2 linked regions of the Sus scrofa genome follow. The protein of the gene in region 2 interacts with the protein of the main gene of each other region in a biochemical or structural test. Links are inferred from orthologs where the notes say so. Each region holds a gene or a part of one and is shown on either strand. Other genes may lie near its edges. The genes, in order: FGFR1OP and S100A6.

The links.
Region 1: the proteins of S100A6 (region 2) and FGFR1OP form a complex in vitro, tested with the Homo sapiens proteins (2 studies listed by BioGRID and IntAct, with this or other methods). The link is inferred for Sus scrofa from reciprocal best matches to the Homo sapiens genes S100A6 and CEP43.

The regions. Positions count from the first base shown.
Region 1 is NC_010443.5:2,107,876-2,116,643, forward strand, and holds part of FGFR1OP (FGFR1 oncogene partner), read right to left. Parts: intron 8,654-8,768; coding exon 8,516-8,653; intron 5,740-8,515; coding exon 5,659-5,739; intron 3,312-5,658; coding exon 3,252-3,311; intron 1-3,251. UniProt on the Homo sapiens protein: Required for anchoring microtubules to the centrosomes. Required for ciliation.
Region 2 is NC_010446.5:96,093,822-96,102,354, reverse strand, and holds S100A6 (protein S100-A6), read right to left. Parts: upstream 4,085-8,533; 5' UTR 4,049-4,084; intron 3,688-4,048; 5' UTR 3,586-3,687; exon of another isoform or gene 3,564-3,585; intron 3,407-3,563; 5' UTR 3,386-3,406; coding exon 3,248-3,385; intron 2,896-3,247; coding exon 2,761-2,895; 3' UTR 2,669-2,760; downstream 1-2,668. Other genes in the region: S100A5 (protein S100-A5), read right to left, coding at 5,592-5,735, 7,582-7,719. UniProt on the Homo sapiens protein: May function as calcium sensor and modulator, contributing to cellular calcium signaling.

The sequences.
Region 1 (8,768 bases), on a different chromosome or scaffold from region 2:
TGGCTACAGCTCTGATTCGACCCCTAGCCTGGGAACCTCCATATGCCGCGGGAGCGGCCCAAAGAAATAGCAAAAAAGACAAAAAAAAAAAAAAAGAATTCACTCCCTAGAGAACCTCAGAGGCCCTGGAGCTTGTCATGGGTTAAACTGCCCATGACAAGCTCCTACGTACAAACAGGCTGGCGACCGATGGAACCAGTCAGGACGGGGTCAGAGTGGAGTCGGGCAGGCCCCTCCCTCAGTGCGTGTCCTTGTGAGAGAGGCCAGAAGCGCAGGGAGAAGCCAGGGAGTGACGGCAGCCGGATGGTCTCAAGCCCCGCAGGGCCTAGGGCTGCCGGGAGCCACGGGAAGCCGGGAGGGGCCTGCACAGCTGCTCCCTCAAACTCGGAAGGAACCGACCCTGTGACGCCTCGACCTCAGCCTCCAGCCTCCAGCGCCATCGTGAGATGAGCAATGGTTGCTATTCTGAGCCACCAAACCTGTGGGGCTTTGTTAGAGCAGCCCTAAGAACTAAGAGGCATTTATAATCAAGAACTAAAACCTAACAAATCCTTGCCTTCTCACTACAGCTGTCAGTTAATTCCCACGGAGGGACCTCAAAACTAATAAACTTTTTGGAAAATTACAGCAAAATTTTAAGAAAGTTTTAGCGCACATTTAATTTTCTACTAGAATACTTACATGTCCAAGATTTCAATAATTTTTAGAGTAACAAAATTAGCTAATAACTAATTTTCCTAGCTCAAAACCAAAATTATTAGAATGTCTTAAAAACTCGGAAAATATAATTTTGTTTTTTTCTAAACTAAAGGCTTCATCTGCACTGTTCATAACAGAGAATCATCAAAGGCAAAGAAAGATCCCCGTTTGCAAAAGTGCTCAACCGTATCTGCAGTGTGAGTTCTCCTCCTGCCCAGGCCTCGGCCCGGCTCCCCTCCCCCACTCTGCCAAAGGCCGGTTTTGACCCACGACTTATGAATGAATTATTCTGAGCAGTCATTTTACTACCATTGTAATACACACATGTATTTAAAGGTTTAATTTACTTACCTAGAAAGTGAACACTGGAATTTGAAAACCACAAAACACATAGCCCTTCCTGCTAAAAGCTCAGTTTTTCTAGAGAAACTCTATCCCACACTGTATAAATGCCCTGCGATCGCTCCAGATGCCCTGGGAACCCCTGTGGCAGCACGATGGGCCTAAAGACCACCCCATCCAGCTGCTGTGCTCTCACGCTCTCCAGCCAGCAGCTCACAGGGTCCACTGTGAGCTGGAGCAGCTGGCCAGGCACAAGCGGGGCACCGTGTTCACCCCACATACCCACTCACTGGGGGGGGTCCTCGAATGATAATGCTTGGTCTATCTAGAAAACCCTAAGATAAGACTCTTCTTTGGGGGATGGTTTCTGTAGTTAGAAAATCCTCGGGGGACCACAAACGAAGCAGCAACACACCCTCCCAAACATACACACCATGTAACCGCCACCATTCCCTCACCAACATAAAGCGAGGCTTTCCCAGACTCCGAGAATAGGAGCAAATTAAGAAATGTCATTTACTGGAGCTCCCTTCGTGCCTCAGCAGTTAATGAACCCAATCACGATCCATGAGAATGCGGGTTCGATCCCTGGCTTTGCTCAGTGGGTTAAGGATCCGGCATTGCCATGAGCTGTGGTGTAGGTCGCAGGTGCAGCCTGGATCCCTCGTGGCTGTGGCTGTGGCCTAGGCCGGCAGCTGTAGCGCCGATGTGACCCCTGGCCTGGGAATCTCCACATGCCAAGGGTGCGGCCCTAAGAAGCTGTCATTTATTAAGACGTCACTTGAAGTGGACTTCCTGCTGTGGCGCAGTGGGTTAAGAATCTGACTACAGCAGCTCAGGTTGCTGAGGTGCGGGTTGGATCCCGGGCCCAGCTCCGTGAGTTAAAGAATCCGATACTGCCACAACTGCAGCACAGGTCACAACCGTGGCTCAGAATGAACCACACTGAATTCAGCAATAAATAAAAGGGGCCAGACTCAGAGCCCGCACCCCAGAATCAGGCCTGTGCAGACTCTTCAGGGCACACGAGGCCCAGCCCACCGAGAGGCTGGGCCCCCAAGGCTGGCTCGGGCACAAAGAGTGAAAGGTGTTTTGTGGAACTTTTGTTCTACGCATCGACTTCTTCCAAACGTTCTAACTTCTTTAAAACTCACGACACTGACAAGATTTTAAAATGTTAATACTATGAAATATACTTTTTAAAAAGTCCAAGAAACTGGTTAAAAGTATTGATTAAAAAAACATGCCAGTTGATATTCTTAATTATTTTTAAGGTACGTCTCACCTCTCCAATTGGACCACAACCTGCTAAGTGAGGCCCCATGTTAAATGTGTCTTGCCCCCAGCACTTAACACGAAGCTTTCACTCTGTGACTGTCCCCCCACACTGGAATACCTCTTAAAACATCTTCTCATGTAGCAGTGCATACAGAATAGCATGAGCTAAGACCAGGAGTTTCCCATGAAACCACCAATCTACAGCCTACTAACTCAGCAAATAGGATTTTTCAAAACCCTTTAATTCTGGAGGTCCGCAACTTACTTGAAAAAATCTACACATAAGCCAAGGCTCAACAAGCACTGAATGCTGAAGAACTCGATCTTACTCCAAGGAAGCGTGAGAACTGTCTTGATGATTTCTAAGGCTTCTGAGAGCTCTGACGCTTCAGGGTCCTGAGCAGCTCATCTCCCGGCGCAGTCAGATTCTGCGATCTTCTGGGGAGGAAGGCACAGGCAGGCGGCGACCCTGCGGCCGGCTCCCCTCCAGCGCATCCCCTGAGCCCGCTGGGGGCCCGCGCGAGGCCAAGGCTCACAAACGCGCCCCGGCCGATGAGCTGCTGGACACAGAGTCTCCAGAAGGCAGCGGGGCCGCCCTTCGATTCACCTATCGGAACTCACCCCAGAGGCGTCTAACGTGCTGGCCCTCAGATCGAGGTCGTGATGTGAGAATACGGACGTTCAAGGGCAAACACAGCACTTTCAACTTTTTCTGCTGCTGCCACAAGCCGGGGAGTCCTCAGGGTAAGACCGAGTGCCTGGCTTTAACGCACCCGGGTAAGAACTGCAATCAAATCCCTGCTTCCTGCGTGTCTGCCTGACTCTGGCACATTCTGACCGTCGACACAAGACAGCGACCCTCCCCGAGAACAGCGCGCCTGGGCCCGGGCCCGGCGGCCGGGAGAGGCGGCGGCGGCGGCCCCGCGAGTTACCTTGGCGCCAGACTTCCGCCCGCTTGTCTTCTTCTTACCTTGTCCTTTATACCTTGGTATCTGAGCATGAGAATAAAATGACATTTTACCAAACACAGAAATCTTTACAAACAAACGAATGCATATCAAGCTAAGAAACAGTCCTCTCAGAGCGTCTTAGGAATGGGTTGTGGGTAAAGGCAGAGACCGCGGCCGCGCCCTCCAGCGCCCTCCAGCGGCCGCCGGAGGGCACCGCCCTGAGCTCCCAGCGGCTCCTTCAGGAAGGGCCCTGGCTTCAGCGTCCCTCCCTCGGGAGGGACACAGCGGGCTTCTAAGGGCTCCCCAGAACCCCGAGTGCTCTGCCGACTGATGAGGTGCCTACGCAAAGGCCTCGGAGAGAGGAGAAAGCTGGCAGGAAAAGGACGGGGCAGGTGCTGGAATGCCAACGCCAGACCCTGTGGGACCACAGGGGAATTGTTTTCATTGCCAGAAGCCCACCGTATCTTTTTCCTTTTTGTTTTAGCTGTGCCTGCGGCAGGCAGAAACTCTGGGGCCGGGAAGCGAACCCACACCACAGCAGTGACCCGAACCACAGCGGTGACACCACCAGATCCTTAACCCACTGATCCGCAAGGGAACTCCAAGAATGCCTTATCTTAAAACAGATTCCACCCCAGCCCGAGATGAGCCTTGCTGTCAGGAAGTGCCCACTGCGCCCGCAGGCCTGTGACGCTGGCTCAGAGCCCGGGCTGTGCTGAAAGCCACCGGAAGGGGGCCCGAGCCTTGGGCGCCTGGAGACAAATCCACCTGAAAAGTCCCCGTCCTTCCCCGTATTTACAGCAACATTTCCTGACTTAAAACTGAAGACTCTCATGGTAGAACTGAAACTTTTTTTATGTAAACAGAAGAGGAACACGTAAAACAAACATTAATATTTCACTGTGAAGATACACAATATGTGGAAAATTAGCACAGCTAGTTTGTTTTAAAAATAGTTTGCTAAGGGAGTCCCTGCCATGAATTCAGTGGAAAAGAACCCGACCAGTATCCATGAGGATGCGGGCTCGATCCCTGGCTTCGCTCAGTGGGTCAGGGATCTGGCGTTGCTCTGAGCTGTGGCGTAGGTCCCAGGTGTGGCTTGGATCCTACATGGCTGTGGCTGTGGTGTGGGCCGGCAGCTGTAGCTCCAATTAAACCCCTAGCCCCGGGACTTCCATGTGCCGAGGGTGCGGCCCTAAAGAGCAAAAATAGTAATTTGCTAATAAGAGAACTTCCAACTACCTAGTGCTACAGGCACGGCTAGGGCATTCCTGAATATGCAGTAACCCCAATCTCTCTAAAGCCAGGCATCCTCACAGCAGGCAAAGCTGACACCTGGTACTGACTCTGCAGGGCATCTCAGATTCACTCACAACCTCATTCTCTCTGCACAGCAGCTCCAGCCTCCAAGGAGCATCACAGGGCAAAATCCTTCACAGACAGACCAACCTTCTTAGGAAAGGCTGAGAAGATCTCAGGGAAAAGAAACAACTTCCAACAGCAGGATGGGCTCTTTCCCTGCCCAGAAATAAAGCACAGCACTCCTCTGGCTTCTCCATTTAAAACATGAAAAGGAGCAACCAAACAACCAGCAACCAACCACAGGAACCTGTCACTGGGCTCAGGCCCAGGCACCCGAACGCGAGGGGGCCCTAGCAGAACAGGCCCCACCTGGGTAAGGGACACGACACGCATCTGGGAGGACCCCAGTGGCGGGAGCCACTCTGGGGCGGACTCCCCAGCGCTGCTCGGGGCGAAGTCAGGGAGGCAGGCAACACAACCGGACCGAGGCCGCCCTTCCGCGCAGGCTGGTTCCGTCGCGGTGCGTCTCAACCAGGCGCAGGAGGGGACACCCTGCCTGACCGTCACCGTCCTACCCATTCCTGCAGGTAGAGCCTTGGTTTTCAACGCAAGTGTTCACTCAATTTTTAGGCCAAATCCCTGAAATCAGGCCTTAACTTTAACCACACACACACACACACACACACACACACACACACACAGAACCAGAGAACAGATTTTCTTATAAATACTCAAAAGAGCTCACTGTATAAAAAATCGTGCTAAATCTAGGCACCTGTCTACAACATTCAACACAACAATTCTCTGTCCTGGAGTCTGATACTCTCAGGTTATAGGAAGTTACAAGTGAAGAGTGAGTAGACTTGTTCATTGAAGGACAAAAAGTTCAAAGGACCAAATGAGTCCACATCTCCGCCGAGGCTGGTAACGGCCTATCTCCTTCCATGACACAAACTCAAAGCGCTAGCAACCGAGCAAAAGAAGCGATTCACCCGGACACGTCACCGAAGGAAGAGGAGCACTTCCCACAACACGACAGGTGACAACGCGGGAGAGAGCAAAGCCCGAGGCCTCGCGGCCGACTCACCTTGCTGTGAGGGGTGTGTGCACCTGCCTTCCCCTCTGGGGACTTCGGTGGAGAATGCACATCAGACAGGTGGAAAGCCCCCTGAAATGGTTACAGTTCAAATTAAAACACAGTTAAAAATAAAGCACGAACACACTAAACCCACCTCAAAAGAATGTGAGCATTTAAAACCACTACTTTATTTCCTCCTATAAATATTTTCATTAGATGTTCCTCAAATTTTAGCAAAACCACAAAGCAAACAGACGTCCGATGCTAAGTACCTGCTGAGTACGTCACTCCGCTCGGGCGCATCTGCCTGGGCCCCAGGTTCCTTTCCAGGACTAACCCGCTCCCTCCTCCCCCGACCCTCCACGCCAACGCCAACGCCAACGGGGCCTCTGCGTCTCAGAGAGCTCCTCTTCCCACCTCGCTGGCTGGACTCGCTCCCCACTTCGTTTTGTCTCCAAAAAAAAAAAAAAAAAAAAGCAACCAGCACCTCTCTCGTCACAGCAGCTACCTCTTCCAACCAAGCGGGCTGAGGGGCTCAACTCCAAGGGCTGCCAGGAGGGGTGGGGGACCAAGAGAAAACGCCCCTGCAGTCAGAGGCCAGAGAACACGGATGGTGACACTGCACAGCTGGACAGGGGACACAATGTCCCATTTCAGGTGGAGAAGAGATGACAAAAAGGAGAGGGAGTTCCCGATGTGGCACAACGGAAACGAATCCGACTAGTATCCACGGAGACGCAGGTTCAATCCCTGGCCTCACAGAGTGTGTTGGGGATCCGGCGTTGCTGTGGCTGTGCTGTAGGCTGGAGGCTGTAGCTTGGATTCGACCCCTAGCCTGGGAACTTCCATGTGCCTTGGGTGTAGCCCTAAAAAAAAAAAAGGAGAACGCAAGCAAGCAAAGGCCACTTTCAAGGGTAAGCTCATTCTGACACAGGAAGGCTCCACAATTCAAAGAGAGGCGAAGGCTAGAAAGAGAGGTTGGTGCCGTGTCGTGCAGAATCTTAAAGCTGAGGAACCTCCCTGCAATTTTAAAGAGAAGACGAGCAGACAAAGCGCTGACTTTAAAAATTAACTCAGCAATCGTGACGGCAGAGACTGAAAAGACGTGGGCGCAGCAACCTGGGTTTAAGGGGTTTACAAAGCGCTTCTGCTGAAAGCTTCCCTGCCTGACCTCAGTGGACGGATCCACAGCCAGTTTTCTTATCGAGCCGATGACACCTCTAATTTTTTATTTCACTATAAATCACATTTCTCCTCAAAGTGGTCAATGCTAACAAATAACAGAAGGGCCAAACTGGACACCTGCGAACCCTCTATTTTAAACATGAACCTACTTGTTCATGTGTGTGTACATATAAGACACCCAGATATCACGAGAGGAAAACCAGCCAGGCGTAAGGTGACACGGCCAGCGTAACGGTTTGGCATCCTTAGGGACGCTGGGACGGAGAGGAGGACCCACGGCCTCCACGCCCGCGTCCTCCAGGCCCTGCTGGTGCCTCCCCCACTCACATTCAGATGGAGCTCACACAACGGCAACCCGGAACCAACCACTGCCCCTTTCAGCTGAAAGCTACGTCTCATCAACGGTGTGGGACTAATCCTGCATCACGCACTATTTCCTCTGCAGTGGTCACCCACCATTCAGAGGTCCGTGTCCCCGCGTGAGCAGGTCATGAAGAGCGCGCAGCTCTCCCAGGACACCTGACCTGCTCCCGTCTTCCCACCGCAAGAATCACCTTGGTCTGCCTTAGATGCCACAGGCACTTGCTCACGCTTTAATGATTTTCAAAGATGCGGACAGAACATGCACCCGGACAGGAGAGTCCAAGCAGAGACGGCAGCCCGTCACGTGCCACCTTCCCACCTGTCAACCTGTCTAAAAGCACACAGGTAACCAGGGCTCTGGGAGAGTCGTGATGCTGCTACATCTGTCAAACAGTATCTTTAATGTAAAGCTAATCTTTGTACATAAAAATCAGACCACTCATCTCGTTAGCAAAACTTCCAAACAGAAGGGATGAGAATAAGACAGACAAAGGCTAATCAAAAAACCAACGTATGGAGTTCCTGTCGTGGCTCAGCAGTAACGAACCGGACTAGCATCCATGAGGATGCAGGTTTGATCCCTGGCCTCACTCGGTGGGTACAGGATCCAGCACTGCTGTGAGAAGCAGTGTACACTGCAGAAACGGCTCAGATCTGGCATGAATGTGGCTGTGGTGCAGGTCGGCAGTTGTAGTTCTGATTCGACCCCTAGCCTGGGAACTTCCACACACTGTGGTTGCAGCCCTGAAAACAAAAATTCAAGTATGAAAATGTTTAGAATCTATGCAAAATCAACAGCTTATAGTTTTAAGCCTAGTTTTTAAAAAGTTTTTAAATTCAAAAAATTGTTAACGAGTCTGTAATTCAGGCCTTTTAGGCTTAAAAATAGAAATAAAAATAAAGACCAACAACTGAGTGTTCCCAGCATTTCACAAGCACTGACTCAGGTGTGTAAGCCTCACGACACCCACGGGAAGCCACCACCCCCGCTCTACAGGAGGACCTGGGACGGGCAGCATGGAGGCCAAGGCCAAGGCTGGCTAGTGGAGGAGCTGGGGCTGGTTCCTCGCAGCCCAGCCTCTGACCCCCACACTCTGAGGGTCAGTCCCCAGAACAGGTGCAGCAGCCAACTCAGGGCTACCACATCTCCAATTTTCATCAAAATGTGTATTTATACAATCTCTGGGTATGTTCTGTTCTGTCTTTAAGGAACAGCCTCTCCTTATTTAAACCAGCTCGAACGTGCACACTGACCTGCACGGCCACCCTAGAGAGGCAACGACTGAGGAGCAGAGAGGTAGCAAAGGGCTGAACTTACCTCCCCGCTGCTTGGCCCTTTTTCTTTCTGCTGACAGCGTCTGATCACCTCTAACAACAAGGGTCCACCCACAGTACCTTCTGCTTCAATAATACCTAAATCCCGGGCTATGTTCTCTCGACCTTCCAGACCCTGAAACTGTGAAAGAGGTAAGATGGGAGAGGGTCAGTGCACAAAATACAGCAACATTATTTTCACAGATCAAAGAAAAATCTCTCCCGAACTTAAAGACATCTCTAAACCCAAAGAGGCC
Region 2 (8,533 bases):
CTTGTATACCTTCCATATGTGATTAAAACACTTAAGAGAAAAACATGAAGAAGAAATGGCCGAAATATGTCCTGATGAGCTAAGCATTAGTGAATGGGTGACGGGATGGCAAGGGCCCAGTTCTTCACTGGGATTTGCCCAGGGGTAGAGGCACTTACTTCACTGTAACCTGGTCTTTTCACTTGTTAAATGGGGTTAATAATACACACTACACATAAAACTTCCAAGCATCACAAAAGACAATGGATAGGAAAGTGCCTTGTAAAAATACAAGTGCCATGCCGTGTACAGTGGCACTATTCTTGACAACATCAGATATGCTTGGCAGAGAACAAAGAGCTACATGCTCTGACTCAGTCCTAAAACCCTCCAACTGGGGCCCAACCCAGCTTACAGAGATGGGCAGCGGTGCTGCTGTTTCAGCTTCCTGGGAGTCAGGGTGACTAGGTTACAGGATTAAAGCCTATTTATGCTCAGCTAGGGAAGAGGAGAAAGCGGAGCCAGTTCCACAAGCGAGTGAATCAGTGCTCCTGGATCAGCAGCGGCAAAGGCACTGGGTGTAAAGCCCCCTGACTGGCTCCCTCCCCTCTAAGCCCAGACCCCTGTTCCACAGACTGAGCTAAAGGCTTCATCTCCAACGTTATATCAGTTGGAGGCAAACGCAATTAAAAAATGACCAGTCTGCGCCCCTCACCACACCCAGTTCCACCCTGTGAGGCCAGCAACCCACCAGATGCCATTGTAAATGCTGCTTCCTCCCATTGCCACCCCCCCCACCAAACATACCCTCAAAGCAAACTAAAGATTAACTATACATTTCAGTGTTTATTTTATTTTTTAAATCCGTGTTCCTGTTGCCCTCCACTGGAAAGTCAGACACTTTATAAAGGACACGCCTGTTTGCTCAGCAGGTGGACTGTGCCCTGTGCAGGTTTATTGATTCTCTTCCATCCCTGGGCCAGGCCACCCACCCGAGCTCCCAGCAAATGCAGGAGCAGCCCCCACCCCGGGAGTGGGTCTTCACCCCTTGAAAGGAGCCCTCCTTCATCTGCAGGAATGTCCTCTCTGCCAAAAGCAAGTGGGGCAGGGGAGCAGCACGATTCAGATTCTGTTTGTCTTTGCAAACTGCCTTCCTCTTACTGACTTGTTCCTGGTAGGTGTGTCTTAGGTGAAATTGAGTTGCTTTATTTGGGGGTTAGTTGCTGGGAGCTGACATACCCTGAGCGTCCAAGTGGCGTTTCCCTCTTGGTTGGAAAGTCTCCACCAACCTTGGCCTCTACACCGTTGGCCCATCCCTGGGGTTTGGAGAAAACCAACCCGCTCCCCGCGGCGTCCTGCTATCTGCCCACACGAGGGCGCTCGGTCCAAGCCCCAAGATGCTGGCCGCTGAGAAGTTACCTTTCCAGAGGAGATTGCATGGAGCTAAGGCTTGGACATGACTGTGCAGACAGGGAGCTCAGATCCTGGGTCCCTTCCTGGTTCACAACTGTGCCAGTCCCTACTCCCTGCGGGGAAGGAGTGGCCACTAGAGAAGGAGGGACACCAAAGGTGAGGTTTCCAGCCCTCTTGGGACTGTTTGCTCATCCCCACCTCATGGAGGAAGAAGATTTAATTCCGCAAATCTGGGCCCGCTGGGAAGTGGAGAGGTGAAAAAGAGGGACAGGAAGAAACGGTCTCTGTCTGAGGCCCCCAGAACCTACAGAGGAAATTGCCTGGCACAGACTAGGTCTGCATGGGAGAGCATTGCCACAACTGCCCCATCGCCCTGAAACCCTCTTGCCCCGATCCCCCTCCCTCCCCACCATCCCCTCCTCCCCCGCCACCCCCTTCTTCCCCCCACCGCCTGAAAACACTAATGCAAACAATGAACTCAGATAATTTCAATTCATCATCTACCAGTGGCTCCATGGAATAACTGGGGTGATCCATTCTGCTAAGGCGCTAGGAATGGGCTGGCTCAATATTGACAGAAAGGCTGGGCTGTGGCTGCCCAGTCCCGGGGACCCCCATCCCACCCCTTTCATGAGCATCTCATGATTCATGTATCCACACAGCTGCCAGCTTCTCAGACCACAACTCTGAGAACAAAGGGCCCTAAGGTGTGCCTCCCACCTTCAACCGGGGCAGGGGCAGCAGAATTGACCTTGACCGTACAGCATCCACAGCAGTCCCCAGCCAGGCTGTGAGCATGCCAGATGTGCCTTCTCTGCCCCCACTTCCCTGTAGTGAGAGAGTGGACCAGCCCCGCCCCACAGCCCTGCTGGACCTTCCCCTTTGACCACACCCAGAGCAAAAACTTGTCTTTGTCGTCTGCAAGGACCCAGCTAGGACTATCTCTGTTCCACTCTGGACTCATCACAGCCTGGCTTAAGCACCATTTCCTTCTCCAAGCCCACCCCAGAACGCCCTGTGCTGGGGACCGCTTGAGCCTTTCCTTAAGATGGCTTTGCCCAGAGCTTACATCTTTTCTGATTCACATAAAAGCAGTTTAGGAGCTGTAACTGCCTTGTTAGGGCGCATCCATCATCTTGTGGACCCTCCCACCAGCTCCCCTGACCTGGTGAGTCACTGAGTCACTCCCAGAGGGGACTGCGAGAAAACCCTCTGATGGCTGATGCAGCGGCAAGCAGAGGAGGAAACAAATCACAGGGAAGCCAGGACACAGGGGTAGATTTAACAACAAAAAAAATTTATTGTACAGTTACCCACCACTAGATCAACAGGCCAGCTAAAGGGTGTCTCCACCGTCTCAATTTATGTTCAGCCCCGGAGGACATCGTTGTAGATCATAGCCAAGGCCCCCAGGAAGGTGACATATTCTTGGAAGTTCACCACCTGGTCCTTGTTCCGGTCCAGGTCATCCATCAGCTTTGCGATTTCAGCATCCTGCAGCTTCTACCGGGTCAAAATGGGAAATCCAGGACTCAGGGGTGATGAGACCTTGGGTTCTCTGCCTTTCCCCCTCCCAGGCAGCCCTCTCTCAGACAAGTGGCTCTGTGCTCACTTGTCACCAAAACTCTGAGCCCACCTTGAATTCACTTGGCTTGACTTCTCTGCTGCTGACTCAGGAGGAGTGAATACCAGGCTGGGAATATCCCCAGCCCCTCAGGGCCCAGGGGTGTGGACCAATGGTCCGGTAAGGTCTAGGTCCCCGGAATGTGAGTAAGTGTGAGTCACAGGCACCTGGCGCCTGGCCTTCTCCCAATCCTGCTTCTAAGGGGGGGGGGGGCAGGGGAGACTCACTCACCGCCCCAATGGTGAGTTCCTTCTGGATCAGCTCCTTCAGCTCACTCTTGCTCAGGGTGTTTTTGTCACCCTCCCGGCCGGAGTACTTGTGGAAGATGGCCACCAGGAGGCCAATAGCCTGATCCAGAGGGCATGCCATGGCTGAAGGCTGAGTTCAAGGCTGGGGGCAGAGGGGCTGGTCAGTGTCCTGGGCCACACGGAGGTCTCACTCCTCTCACTCACCGCAAGCCCCAAGACCTCTGCCCCCCACCCACCCACCCCCATCCCCACCACCACCCACCCCCGACCCCAACTCCCTTTGACGACCCTGCCCGGACCACCAAGTAAGTGTCAGGTGACCTCAGGAGACAGCTCGAGGCTTGAAGGGGAGGAAGAGGGCAGACTCTAGAGCCTAGAGATCTGTGGCCTCCAGGGAACCAGAGACGAGGTGGCTCAAGGATTCTAAGCAGCAGACAGGAACACAGCTGAGAACGCTCCTCCAGGGGTTGCGGGAAAGTTGGGGCGGATGTTGCGGGGCGGGGGTGGAGACGGCGCACCCAGCCCTACACACAGCCTTCCAGGGCCACACACGGCGGCGCTGACACGCCCGCCCGGGACACACCCTCCCGCACCCCAGATGGGCCACTACCCGGAGCCGCCCAACGGACGCCTTAGCCCTGGGCCAGCCTGGCTTCTCCTGCCTCTCCCCGCCCGCCCGGCAGCCCCGCAGCCCCAGGCTGGATGCCGAGCCATCCACCGCCCGCGGACCAAGCCCGGGGCGGGCTGGCTCAGAAGGACCGGGGCTGCCCTGGCCAGGACTCACCACGGCGGCAGCGACGGGAGCAGGGAGCGGCCGAGGGGATGCTGGGCTCTGGGGCCGGCCCGCCCGCCTTATAGAGGCGCGTCCGGGAGGCCGGCTCCCCACCGCCCACGGCCCGCCCCGCGCCCCACCCTGTGCTCGCCGTTACACAACACCAGGGCCCCAAAACTTTCCACGCCTCCTGCCCCGGGGCAGTTCAGGGCTCCGCGGGGTGGGGGGGACCTCGAGGGGGAGGGGGTCCCACCTGCAGCCAGCCGAGTGACCTCGAGCTCCTTCCTAACCCCTGAAACCCAGTTTGCAGCCACCCACCCCCCAGCATCGTGATGTGACAGGCCAGGGCAGGACGCTGTCACTGACGCTGGGGGGGCTGCCGGAAGTGGGTGGAGAAGGGAGAGAAGGGTGCCCCCTTCCCAGGGCGAAACCTAGATGAAGGGTGGGGAGCGGCCGGTGGTCTACAGAATACAGTTTCAAGGACTTCTCCAACACCCATCCGCCAGCGGAAAACGAATTCCTACCACCATCCTGCTCCCTTCCCCAACCCCCTCCCCCACCCCGAATTCCAGAATTGCACACCGGAGCCTCCTGCAGCTTCAGGGGCACACATGCCAGAGCCAAGCCCTGTGTCCCTAGTTATTTACCCTGCAATGCAAAGTTTCTCAGATCCTCAGTGTTTTTTGGTTTTGGGTTTTGTTTTGTTTTGTTTGCTTTTTAGGGCCTCGGGTAGCTGCTGGCCTCTGCCACAGGCACAGCAACGCCAGATCCGAGCAGGGTCTCGACCCACACTACAGCTCATGGCAACACCAGATCCTTGACCCACTGGGGTGAGGCCAGGGAATCGAACCTGCAACCTCATGGTTCCTAGTTAGATTCAATTCCGCTGCAGCACAAGGGGGAACTCCTCTCAGATCCTCTCTGGAGAAAGGCTTTTGATATGGGGAGGTGGGAAAGGCAGAAAGCCTAGAGGTGATTGAGGTGGCATGCGGGGTAGCAGGGCTTGTTGCAGAGAGGGAAACGGAGGAGAGGGAAAGGGGACTGGCCTGGAGGTCAAGGCCACACTCCCCTTTCTTACCAGCGTCCTCAGGGTGGCCTCCTGTGAGCTGGTGACAAGTCAGACTGGCCTGTCCACCACTGCCCCCAGGAACCACATCCCGGCTGCCTCCAGTGTCCTCACCCTCTAAGCACTTTCTCCTTAACTTTCTCTGCATAGCCGAAGCACACCTCGGAAGCCATCAAAAGCCTGGCCCAACTTCCCCATTTTCCAGGAGGGCCATGCTAAGCCCAGACACACTTAGTCACATCCACACCAAAGGACAGGAAGTGGAGAGGGAGCCCAGAACCCTAGCCCCCAGAAGCTCTCCACTCACTGAAGGGGAATCGCTGCCCTGCCCACCGCACCCCCAGCCAAGATGGACAAGACATCTTCCAAACCAGCCACGGACCCCTGGAAAGGAAAATCTTTATTTCCTCTGCGGGAATGGAAGGCTAAAGCAGCATCCTTCTGGAAGGGTGTGTGATAGGAGCTGCAGAGGCCAGGGCCTGGGCCCCGTCACTGGTTGTCCTCCAGGAAGAAGTCGTTGTAGGCCATGCAGAGCGTGGTCAGGAACACCGAGTACTCCTTGAAGTCGATCTCCTGGTCGCTGTTCTTATCCAAACTCTTCATCAGGTCGTCCACACTGCTCTCCTTCATCTTCTTCCAGGGCCCAGGTAGAGACACAGGTCAGCCCTGCCCCCTCCCAGCCTCAGGCTGAGCCCCAGCGGAGTCAGCTTCTGGGCCCTCAGAATCCCCCCGCCCCCAGGCCACACCCAGCCCAGGACCCAGCACCACGCAGGCGCTCAGTGAGCTGACCCCTGAGCCTGGAAAAATTACCAGAGGGAGTCTAGGGCAGCCCCGCTTCCCCTCCACACTTTCTACCGCCCGAAGAAATAATAAGCTAGATATCATGCAACACCTCATAGAAGCGGCTTGGTGACTATGCGGCGCTGAGCAAGATCCAGGTCTTAGTCTGTCCCTCTTGGGGATCTTGAGCATCGACCCAGACAGCACATGCCACCAGGAGCGGTGCGTTCGTGCCGAGAAGCCAGCGCATCCGTTCCCTGCTAGGAGAGCCTGCAGGACAGCCGTAGGGAACCAGTGCCTGGCACCCAGTCTTACTCTCTGGTCCCTGCCCTCCTCGCCCAGCTCCACCAAGAGCACGGTGACAGCCCCCCCACCCCAGGGGGCAGCAGGTGGGAGACAGGAAGAAAATACAGAACATCCTGCCCTCTCCTCTTCACTGCCCCCAGCTCCAGCTTTGCCACAGGAGACAGGACGTGGGGACTTACGAAGATGGAAACAACCTCTCTGTGACGCCATTCTTGTCCCCAGTCTGGGTTCCTGTTCTAGCCATACCCTCCCCAGGGCCTCTGTCCCCCTGTAATTAACCCTGCTGGACCCACGGCCCCTCCCTCAGCCCTCATTCACTCCAGGATGCAGAGAGCTTGGCAGGAAGGCCAGAGGGGCAGCCGGTGACACCCACACCTACTTCAGTCCCCCGTCCACAGGGACAAAACCTGGTGGAGCTTCTCTCCGAGGAGGCCCACTAGGGTTCAGAATGTGACAGCAGAGGCCTCCCAGGCTGTTTTTAAAGATACACGGGCCTGGCCTGGAATTGCAGCCTCTCGCCAACTGGGTATCCTCAGACAAGTTATATAATGTCTCTGAGCTTGGATTTTTTTTGTTTTAACTGAAATAATAATACGATGACTATCTCATAGACCTTCCCCTCCATCAGTTGCCTCCCTCCCACCATCTCCATCTGGTTAGAATCAGTTCTGTCTCCCTCCAGCCTGTGTTGGAACTAGCCGAATGATCCTTTTGGTTCCTGCGTCAGCACCATCAAAGCCCTGGGGTGGGGGGGTGTCGGGTGGGAGCCCTGCCCTTGAGCTGTGCACAGCTGATCTGGACCCCTGAACCCCCTCGTCCCCCCACCCCATCCTTCACACAGGCTCCACTTGCATCTCTGAGAGCCCAGCCTCAGCAAGGAAGTTTCCTTCATCTTTGCCGGTTTTATAGGGGAGGCTGGCCATGCCCAAGGCGTGTGGCAGTTCCTGGGCCAGGGATCGAACCTGTACCACATCAGTGACCCAAGCCACTGCAGTGACAACACCAGATCCCTAACCCGCTGAGCCACTACCGAACTTCAAAGGTCTTGAGCTTCTCTAAAGCCTCACGCGGGCTGAGGGCCACCATCCAGATGCTGCCCTTCTCCCCAGTGGAACACGACTCATCTCAGCACAGAGGTCTAGAGCTGTGTTGGCCCAAGAAGTCCATGCTCTCCGTTGGGTCTCTGTCCGTACCCATTAGCCATCCTGTCCTTCCCAAGGTTGGCATACCCTGCGGGCAGATGCGTGTCCTCTCTTGCCACCCCACCCACCTCATGCCCGGAAGGCCCTGGTATTGGTGCTTCCTGTTTTCTCCCTCCTCTCCCCTCCCCCACGGTGCCCACCGGGAGCACTTGGACTCAGGGATACAGGAGAGGGGACTGTCACCCACCTACCTCACCAAGACACAGCTCCTTCTTGATCAGCTCCTTCAGCTCCCTCCTACTCAGAGTCAGCTTGCTGCCCTCTCTCCCCGAGTATTTATGGAAAGTGGTGACCATCGTGGTCAGAGCCTTCTCGAGTGGGGTCTCCATCACCGGGTGCAGTCCTGGAGGCCGAAGGGAGAGGAGAAGATCACCCCACCCGGGAAGCCAGACCTCCTGCTTCCCTCCGCCGCTAGCCCACCTCCAAGCCTCTCCCTCGAGGACCAGCAGCTAGAACCCGTGATGAGACTGAAATCTACCCAGCAGACCCTGGTGTATGCGGACAGGTGGTAACAAGACCCAAGGCAAACTTGGAACAGCCAGAGCAGGGAGAGCGGCAGCACCCAAGGGAGACGGCTCACTCTCCTGCGTAGGAGACATGGGAAAGGGGGTCTCGGGGCAGAGGCGTGACAAAATGGCCAAGCCAAAGGAAGACCTGGGGGCAGATGGCAGAGCAAATGAGGGGTCGGGATTTTCTCCCTGCCCCCTCCAGCTCAGGCCCTCATTTTCCAGGCAGTTGTCACCCTGGTCACCCTTCTTGGCCCAGGTGCCTGAATCAGCTGGTATCAGGGAGTATGCCACTATGGAGGAGGGAATCAGGGCAAAGAGCCCAGGGGTTGGAGGAGGCTGGGGCTGCAACTGGAAGATAAGATCTCAACAGGAAACTGGGGAGAGGTGACAGGACTTGTCCAGCTGGTCCCATTCCGTAGCCCAGAGAACTGTACATACAGACTGGCCATGAGGTAATGAGGCGGGGGCGGGGGGGTGGGGGCTGATATCTCCAGGGTCATCTGAGAGCTGGACCCAGAAGTTGGCTTGGTCTGGGCCTCTAGTCCATGAGCACAGCCACACCCACCAAGGGAAAAGGCAGTTGGAGCTCCTGTGACTCAGACTTGAAAACCACTTCCCCCTTAGGGAGGAAGGA